Saccharomyces cerevisiae S288C: one gene and its partner. The protein of the gene in region 2 purifies or fractionates together with the protein of the main gene of each other region. This does not show direct contact. Each region holds a gene or a part of one and is shown on either strand. Other genes may lie near its edges. The genes, in order: VMS1 and ARB1.

Region 1 (4,398 bases), on a different chromosome or scaffold from region 2:
CTGGGCCATTGGTACCGGTTTGGCTGCTACTCCAGAAGATGCTCAAGATATTCACGCTTCCATCAGAAAGTTCTTGGCTTCCAAGTTGGGTGACAAGGCTGCCAGCGAATTGAGAATCTTATACGGTGGTTCCGCTAACGGTAGCAACGCCGTTACCTTCAAGGACAAGGCTGATGTCGATGGTTTCTTGGTCGGTGGTGCTTCTTTGAAGCCAGAATTTGTTGATATCATCAACTCTAGAAACTAAGATTAATATAATTATATAAAAATATTATCTTCTTTTCTTTATATCTAGTGTTATGTAAAATAAATTGATGACTACGGAAAGCTTTTTTATATTGTTTCTTTTTCATTCTGAGCCACTTAAATTTCGTGAATGTTCTTGTAAGGGACGGTAGATTTACAAGTGATACAACAAAAAGCAAGGCGCTTTTTCTAATAAAAAGAAGAAAAGCATTTAACAATTGAACACCTCTATATCAACGAAGAATATTACTTTGTCTCTAAATCCTTGTAAAATGTGTACGATCTCTATATGGGTTACTCATAAGTGTACCGAAGACTGCATTGAAAGTTTATGTTTTTTCACTGGAGGCGTCATTTTCGCGTTGAGAAGATGTTCTTATCCAAATTTCAACTGTTATATAGAAGAGCAAAAAATTGCCAAAAAAAACAACATTTATTCATTTGAAATATAAAATTTGGGCTTCTATATTTTAATATTGCTTTTCAATTACTGTTATTAAATGTAAGTACTGTGTCTATGAAAATATATGCAAATGCTAAGAAAAATCCTAAAAATTTGAATATGAGATATTCCTCAGTATTTCTTTTTCATCCTTTCTTCTGCGGCTCTAGCCCTTTGTTCTCTCATCAATCTGCGTCTCTGTTCATCGGTCAAAGAATTCAAATTTTGTTGCTGAATTGAAGGAATATTGGTTAACTTTTTGCCTGGACCCCTCTCTGCATCTTTAGCAAATCTTTGTTTTTCCTTGGCGGCTTCTAATTCCAATTTAATCAGTTTTTCTGCCTTTTCATTCTCTATTGCTTTTTTCTTTTCATTGATTTCATCAACTTGTTCTCTGCTCAATGGCTGACCGATATGAGTTTCGTCCCAATTAGTGAAAGACTCTCCAAGATTGTATCTTGCAATTTGAAACGCGTGTCTCACGTCGTCGTTTCTATTCAAATCCCACGCAGTCCTTCCTAGTCTGTTCTTGATCGTTGGATCGCATTTAATATTTGAGAGCAAAATCAGTGCCATCTGTTTCATCCCTTGCTGCGATGCATAATGTAACATGGTAGGGGTTAAGGAATATTTACTCTCAGGCTTTAACCGAAAGTTTCCATCAAGCTTATTCTTTTTTAAGAAGGATATCAATAACGGTGCCCTTCCTTTCTTCAGCAGAGAAATTATTTCTTCTGTTTGGATTTCTTCCAGTAACGGTTCTTGTTTTTCTTTAAATTCGTCCTTTTTGTTCGACACTTCTAACTTTTGTACTGTTTCTTTCACTGCCAATGGTTCAGGCTTAGGTAATATTTTCAGGTAGGAAAGTTCGCACCATGCCTTCTTCAATTCTAATACAGTGGGCCTGTTCGTGGTAAAAGGGAAGCTCTTTATCCTTTCATCACCCTTGTTCAGAACGGTATTATCAGTAAAAATTTTTTTATCACTGACATTGCGAGCTCGAATAAAAATATTATCACACTTTGACAGATAAGGTTCCCAGTCCTTCAACACACCCTGTATATCTGTTTTTAAAGCGCTTTCATTGTACCTACGAAGTGCTGAACCGGCAGAGTTAGCTTTTCCCTTTGCATTGTCCATTGCTGACTGAGAACCACCTTGCTTCCTTCTGGTAGTATACCTGTGAAACGTCTTGTGCTCTAAGAAATTGACCGCTTGCTCAATTAAGGTTTCGTCCTTCTTGTGCGCGTTCCCCTTGACATTGAGTCTTTGATGAGAAACAATTGCTCCCGCAAAATGTCCACCTCCCACCATAAACAGAGCTGAAATGGCCATTGGGTTCTCTTGCGAATTCCAAAAAGTCAAAGCTTCATTGGGGTTGGAAAGACTCCTTTTATTAAATAGAGACTTATAAATCGCCAAGACCTCATTCTTTTGAAGATACTTCGATTTGAAATAAATGTAGGGCGATTGGGTATTAATATGGCTAATAGCATCCGACTCGTCTTTTTGGAACCCTAATTTCTGCAAATCATTTTCGATTATAGTTTCCATATAATTATTAGTTTGTAGGTCCGGGTCCCGATCGCTGGCTTCCTCACTTTCTTCGTGATCGCTTGAAGTTTGCTCGCCGCCAGAATTTTCGTCTTCAGACTTGATACCATGCTCCTTAGAAATCAGCGCATCGAATTCCTCAACGGATAGGATATCCAGCCCCCTAAGGTTACGCTTAACATTCATCAAATGATAATCAGTCTGGTAGTGGGCCTTTTGTTCATTTCTGGAATCAAAGCTCATTTGACAAACACTACAACGCATAACATTTGATGTGACCTTCTTTCTTGCTATTTGGAGATCTCCAGACTCCTTGTTTCTATCATTATCAGATGTCTTCTCTACTTCAACTTCTCGCAGTGTGGAGTCAAAGCTCATCAATTTCAATGAATTCAGAAGTTGCTCAGACAAATCAAAAATATAAAGATCATTCTTTTTTAGTGAGCCAGTCATTTTACTCGCCTTTTGTGAATTCATGCTATTGGAAGCTTGTCAACAGGCGTGCAGATCTTTTGAAAATCCTTTTTCTTCGAAGGAAAGGTGATATGCATTCTCATTTATTTTCATATACCTTCATCTTTTATTTTCTTCTATTTAAGATTTTGTCACTACATCCATTCAGAGAACCTGCAAAAATAAATATCTGAAAAAAAAAAAAATCGTAATAAATATACAGAATATCGAAAAAAGAAAAAAGGCCACTTTTGAACGTTGTGAAAAAGATATTATTTACATAAACGTATATTATCACTTATAACACTATAAGAATCAATATTTCCACATTACTTCGAACCAATTCTGTGGCACTCCTCCAAGAAAAACTTGATGACGTCTGGATCCATGAAAGGGTGGGTACCGTGACCGAAATTAACAATGTAGCGGGACTTCCCACCTCCAAAAGCCTCAATCATCTGTTTAACTTTCTTTGTTATTACCTCTTTAGAACCATACATGACGCCAGGATCCAGGTTGCCCTGCAAGGTGACACGGTTCTTGTTTATTTTTACCGCTTCTCTTGGGTCCCAGGACCAGTCCAACGAAACAACGTCAAATCCTGAACAGCATAGCTTGTCCAAAGCATACCACGACCCTTTCGCAAAAACGATCATAGGAATCTGTTCCATGATACCTAATTCTTGCAATCTTTTAGGCACTCTTTCGGCAATTTGTCTTAAATATGGTAGGGAAAACTCATCAAAATCTACAGACGAAAGCTCACCACCCCAACTTTCAAAAACTTGTAGTATTTGAGCACCCGCCACGACTTGCTGACTCAGAAACTCCACGGCCACATCAGTGATTTTTTGTAATAATTTGTGAGAAAGCTCTGGATACATGTTAATCCATTGTTTGGCAAATCTGAAAAGACGGGATCCACCGCCTTCCGTCATATAAACCATTAGAGTCCAAGGTCCCCCGCAAAAGCCAAATAAGGGAACCTCACCATCCAACTTGATCCTTGTCATGGTGATTGCCTTGAAAGCCCAATCTAACTCTTTCAAAACATCAACCTTGTAGTCTAATACCGTTTGGAGGTCTTCCGGATTTCTTAAAGGTTCTGGGAAATGTGGACCTTTACCTTCGAGCATCTCGACCCTCATACCCATGGCTTGCGGAATAACTAAGATATCACTAAAAATAATAGCAGCATCAATGAGGCCTCTATAGCGTCTTACCGGCTGGATAGTAATCTCAGAAGCAATTTCCGCATCCCTGCAAGTTTGAAAGAAATCACGATTGTTTTTCACCTCGTGATATTCCGGCAGGTAACGACCTGCCTGGCGCATTATCCAGCATGGCGGTCTCTCGACTTTTTCACCCTTTGCGGCTCTCAATATCAAATCGTTTTTTGGAGCTGGAAAGTTACCCATAGCGTTATAACCTGTTCTTTGCTTTATTTTTTTTTTTTTTGTTCTTCCTTTTCTCGAAGAGAGCTTACCAAACACAATTCTGAGATAATGCTTGATGAATTGAAGAACCTATCGATCACTCTATGTTACCTTCGTCTGGAACATCACTAATTCGAGCGGTAAAGATGAAAATGGCAGAACATTTCGCTGGCAAAATTAAAACTCTTGCCTCATTTTTTTTTGCTTTCCTCTCCTGCCGCCAAAAACCCCGAACCCTGTCCTGTATATACGAGAAACATTGAAAAA
Region 2 (4,480 bases):
CGGACAATAACGTCACTACATACAAAGTTATACACTAACAGAAACTCAAACACAAACGTTTTTATAATAGTCAAAATTAAATATCTCTCATAATGGGTTCCGAGACAAAACATTCTGCAAAAGTCAAGATTGTCACAAGGGAAAGTCCTCCTTCCGCCAAGGAGCACATGCGCCCCACTAAAACTCAAATATTAGTTCCACCGACGCAGAGTTTGCCCAATGGCAAGAAACCAAACTTCGGTAAGTCTACAAAACAGCGGCGAGAACCTAGGGAACGCACCTCGAAGACGGGACACGAGGACGATAAGGCAACGATGGTCACTGTTAACATAGATGCCTTCCTACATGATAAGGCCCCTAAAAAAAAATCGTGCAAATACAAGAAGAAGAAAACGAGACAGTACCAGGATAGGGCGGCGGCGTCGATCGATTCGAAACCGCACGTAGCTGGTCATACGGCCTTTGCCGGTGCTTCGTTCACAACAGATATCCCACATGAGGCAGCGCTACCCAAACCTAGTTTTGTTTGAGTAGCTGTGATTGTAAATTTTTTTATTTCTACTTGAGCGGGCGGGCTCTCATTTTTTTTTTTGGGGTTTTATTTAGGTCGGATTATTCATAAAGATGGCATTTATATACATTTTTACGCAATTACCCTCATATTCTTACACATACGGAGAAGTCATTGTTATATCTTCTTGCCTTCACATTGTTATCGGTGATTTTCTTTCTTTATTGATTGATTAGTTATATAAATTATTGCTATTAAAATACATAAAAGGGGAAGTAAAAACGTGCACGGCGCAGATCAACTTCACAATTACAAAACAACGTTCTTGGCCAATTTGTTCTTATATTGCAAAATGGATCCGTCCCATCTGGTAGCGGTCTTGTTTTCCACAACGAAAATATCTTGGGCAATTTTGTCTAATAATCTGAAATCATGCGAAACGACGACGACACCACCGTTAAATTCGTTGATGGCGTCGGCCAAGGAGTCGATGGTTGGGATATCCAAACCATTGGTAGGTTCATCTAATAGTAGGACATTTGGTTGTTCTAAAGCTAATAAAGCAAAGACGACACGAGAACGTTGACCTTCTGACAAGGTAGCCATTTGAACGGTTTGACCTTCCCCGGTTAGCCCGTAGCGACCTAGTTGGCCTCTCCAGAATTGGAAATCTTGTGAGATGTTAGAGTACTTGTCACGGACAAATTCTAAAGCAGATTTTGTCAAGTCCAGTTGATCTTGAGAGTGTTGCGAGTAGACACCCAACTTGACATGGGTATGTCTAGAAACACGGCCAGATTGTGGGGTCAATTCACCGGTCATAATCTTCAACAATGTGGATTTACCAACACCATTTGGTCCGACAAGGGCAATACGTGAGTCCATATCGACACCAAAGTTCAAATGTTCGTACAAGTTTTCGGATGGGTTGCTCTCATAATGAAATGAAATATCATCGAATGCTAAAACTGGTGGTGGCAATCTTTCCACTTGTGGGAATCTAAATGAGAAAACTTTGTCAGGGACGACAGGTTGGACTAAACCATCTGCTTCCATCTTGTCCAAAATTTTTTGTCTAGATTTAGCTTGTTTCACCAAGTTAGCATAAGTACCAGCAGATGCAATGAATTTTTTAATATGTTGGATTTCCTCTTGTTGTTTATTGTATTGTTTCATTTGATTGGTTTCCAATTCGGATCTTGTCTTGTGATAAGAATCATAGTTACCACCGTAAGCAGTTAGTTTTTGAGCTCTCATGTCAATCATATTGGTACAAACACCGTTCAAGAAATCTTGAGAGTGGGACACCAAAACTAAAGTTCTGTCAAATCTCTTCAAATATTCTTCTAACCAAACACAAGCTTCCAAATCCAGATGCGCAGTAGGATCATCCAACAATAATAGAGTTGGCTTAACGAAAAGAGCTTTTGCCAACGCAACACGCATTTTCCATCCACCAGACATATCTTTGGTTTTCTTCAAAATGGTCTTCTTGTTGAAACCTAGACCGATCAAAATGATAGCAGCTCTAGATTCAAAGGTGTCTGGATCCAAAGAGTCCATTCTTTCATATAGAGGCTCTAATAACTCGGACTCAGGACCATCTTCCAAGATAGTCTTTTCGACTAAGTCTTCTATTCTTTTCAATTCGTGTTGAGCTTCAGTGACAACGTAGTCCAAGGCCGACAATTCACTTGGTTCCGCAGGTTCGTCCAATAAATAAATATCAATATGCTCAGGAATAGGATATTCTCTAGTAGCAAGAGCCTTTAAGAATGTTGACTTACCACAACCATTTTCTCCCAGAAGACCATATCTACGGCCGTAGTTTAATTCTAAACCAGAATCTTGGATCAAAACTTTACCGTGGAACAGTAAAGAAACAGAAGATAGCTTGATATCACGGGAAGTCTCCAATGAACTCAAAACACCAGTGACAACACGATCTGAAAGACCATCCTTATCTTGTTGCAACTTCATCATCTTGATTTCTCTAGCGGCTGCATCTACCTCCGATTCTTCAGCAGCAGCCTCCTTTTTTCTACCTAGCTTTCTGATGGTTTTACCGGCAGCGGCTTTCTTAGCCTCTCTTTCAGCTTTCTTAGCATCTCTCTTGGCCTTTGACGCAGATACTGGTGGCATATTTGGTTCTGTCAAGTTACTGTTTGTAGCACTGAGGGGAAGAAAACAATTTTTGCAAGAAAAAAGTTAAGAAAGAAGAAGAAAAACTACACGGGCACTAACATGTTAAATATGATAATATTTTTTTTTATAAGAGAATCACTACCAAGTTACCTGAACTACGTCAAGGAAAAGCCATTAATTGAGATGAGGTGAACGAAGAAAAAAAAAAAGAAAAAAATTTTTATTTTTTTTTCCATCGGTCTCCCCCCTCACCTTTCTTTTTTCATTCGTTTAAAGTGAGATTAGGGTAATGCATTTCGTATTTAGTGAGTAAACGTCAAAGGTGATATAGGGGGTTTTTCTTTTTCCAGAAAAAGAAAGAAAAAAGCCGGCGGTCGCCGCCGGAGATGGTTGAGAAAAAAAGGGGGCAGCAACGTGCTTCACATACAAACCAAGTTCTTGGATCTGTACGATCGTTTCTGCGGGTTTTTCCGTATTTGCCGCAATACTGAAATGGCTCATTATTAGGAGATGTGCATATAATGTATATACATACATTTAGCATATGTAATACATTCGTACATGTATAGAAATATATGTTTATATATATATATATATATATATGTATATACGAACTCGGTTTAACGCATAGTTGGTAAAAGATTTAATGTAGATAAAAAACACATAAGTTTTATACGCACGTAATCATGACTATCGCTAAAGATTACAGAACAATTTATAGAAACCAAATCAAAAAGCAGATACGACTAAATCAGGAGCATTTGCAAAGCTTGACACATCTAGGCTCACAAATCAATTTCGAGGTGGATCCTCCCAAATTACCGGATCCGGATCCTGCTCGAAAAGTATTTTTCTTTGATATCGATAACACTTTGTACAGAAAATCTACGAAGGTACAATTGCTCATGCAACAATCATTATCAAATTTCTTTAAATACGAATTGGGGTTTGACGACGATGAGGCAGAACGCCTAATCGAATCGTATTATCAAGAATATGGATTATCCGTGAAAGGTTTAATAAAGAATAAACAAATTGATGACGTCCTACAATATAATACATTCATCGATGATTCCTTACCTTTGCAAGACTATTTAAAGCCTGATTGGAAGTTAAGGGAGCTGCTGATCAATTTAAAGAAAAAGAAGCTCGGCAAATTTGACAAACTATGGCTGTTTACAAACTCGTACAAAAATCATGCCATCAGATGTGTTAAAATATTAGGTATTGCTGATCTATTTGACGGCATAACCTATTGCCACTACGACAGACCCATCGAGGAAGAATTCATTTGCAAGCCAGATCCAAAATTCTTCGAAACAGCTAAATTGCAAAGTGGGTTGTCGAGCTTTGCAAATGCCTGGTTTATTGATGACAACGAAAGCAATGTGCGGAGCGCGTTGAGCATGGGGATGGGCCATGTTATCCATTTGATAGAGGATTACCAATATGAGTCAGAAAATATTGTTACTAAGGACCACAAAAATAAGCAACAATTTTCCATATTGAAAGATATCCTTGAGATTCCATTGATAATGGACGTTGAAGTTTACCGTCCATCCTCTATTGCCATAAAGGAAATGGAAGAGTTGGAAGAGGAAGGGGAAGCAGTCAACTGGTCAAATCAACAGATCAATGTTCAGTCATCATGACTGTTACCTGATTTTAGAAAACAAATTTAATATTCCCTTCAGGATAGAAATTTCAACATCATTTGTCGTTTCATTAGAAATATCCAAAATACAATCTTTGAAATATTCTGTTACTTGACATTTGGGACCAAAAGGAATAAATTTCGAGCCATACATCGTTAAAATAAAATAT

What was found.
Region 1: the proteins of ARB1 (region 2) and VMS1 purify together in Saccharomyces cerevisiae (affinity purification with mass spectrometry; 2 studies listed by BioGRID). This does not show direct contact.

What each region holds. Positions count from the first base shown.
Region 1 is NC_001136.10:551,575-555,972, reverse strand, and holds VMS1 (Vms1p), read right to left. Parts: upstream 2,720-4,398; coding exon 821-2,719; downstream 1-820. Other genes in the region: triose-phosphate isomerase TPI1, read left to right, coding at 1-247; uroporphyrinogen decarboxylase HEM12, read right to left, coding at 3,025-4,113. UniProt on the Saccharomyces cerevisiae protein: Endonuclease that cleaves polypeptidyl-tRNAs downstream of the ribosome-associated quality control (RQC) pathway to release incompletely synthesized polypeptides for degradation.
Region 2 is NC_001137.3:222,547-227,026, forward strand, and holds ARB1 (ATP-binding cassette family ATPase ARB1), read right to left. Parts: upstream 2,654-4,480; coding exon 821-2,653; downstream 1-820. Other genes in the region: EDC2 (Edc2p), read left to right, coding at 93-530; PHM8 (bifunctional nucleotidase/lysophosphatidic acid phosphatase), read left to right, coding at 3,343-4,308; Smc5-Smc6 complex subunit KRE29, read right to left, coding at 4,312-4,480. UniProt on the Saccharomyces cerevisiae protein: ATPase that stimulates 40S and 60S ribosome biogenesis.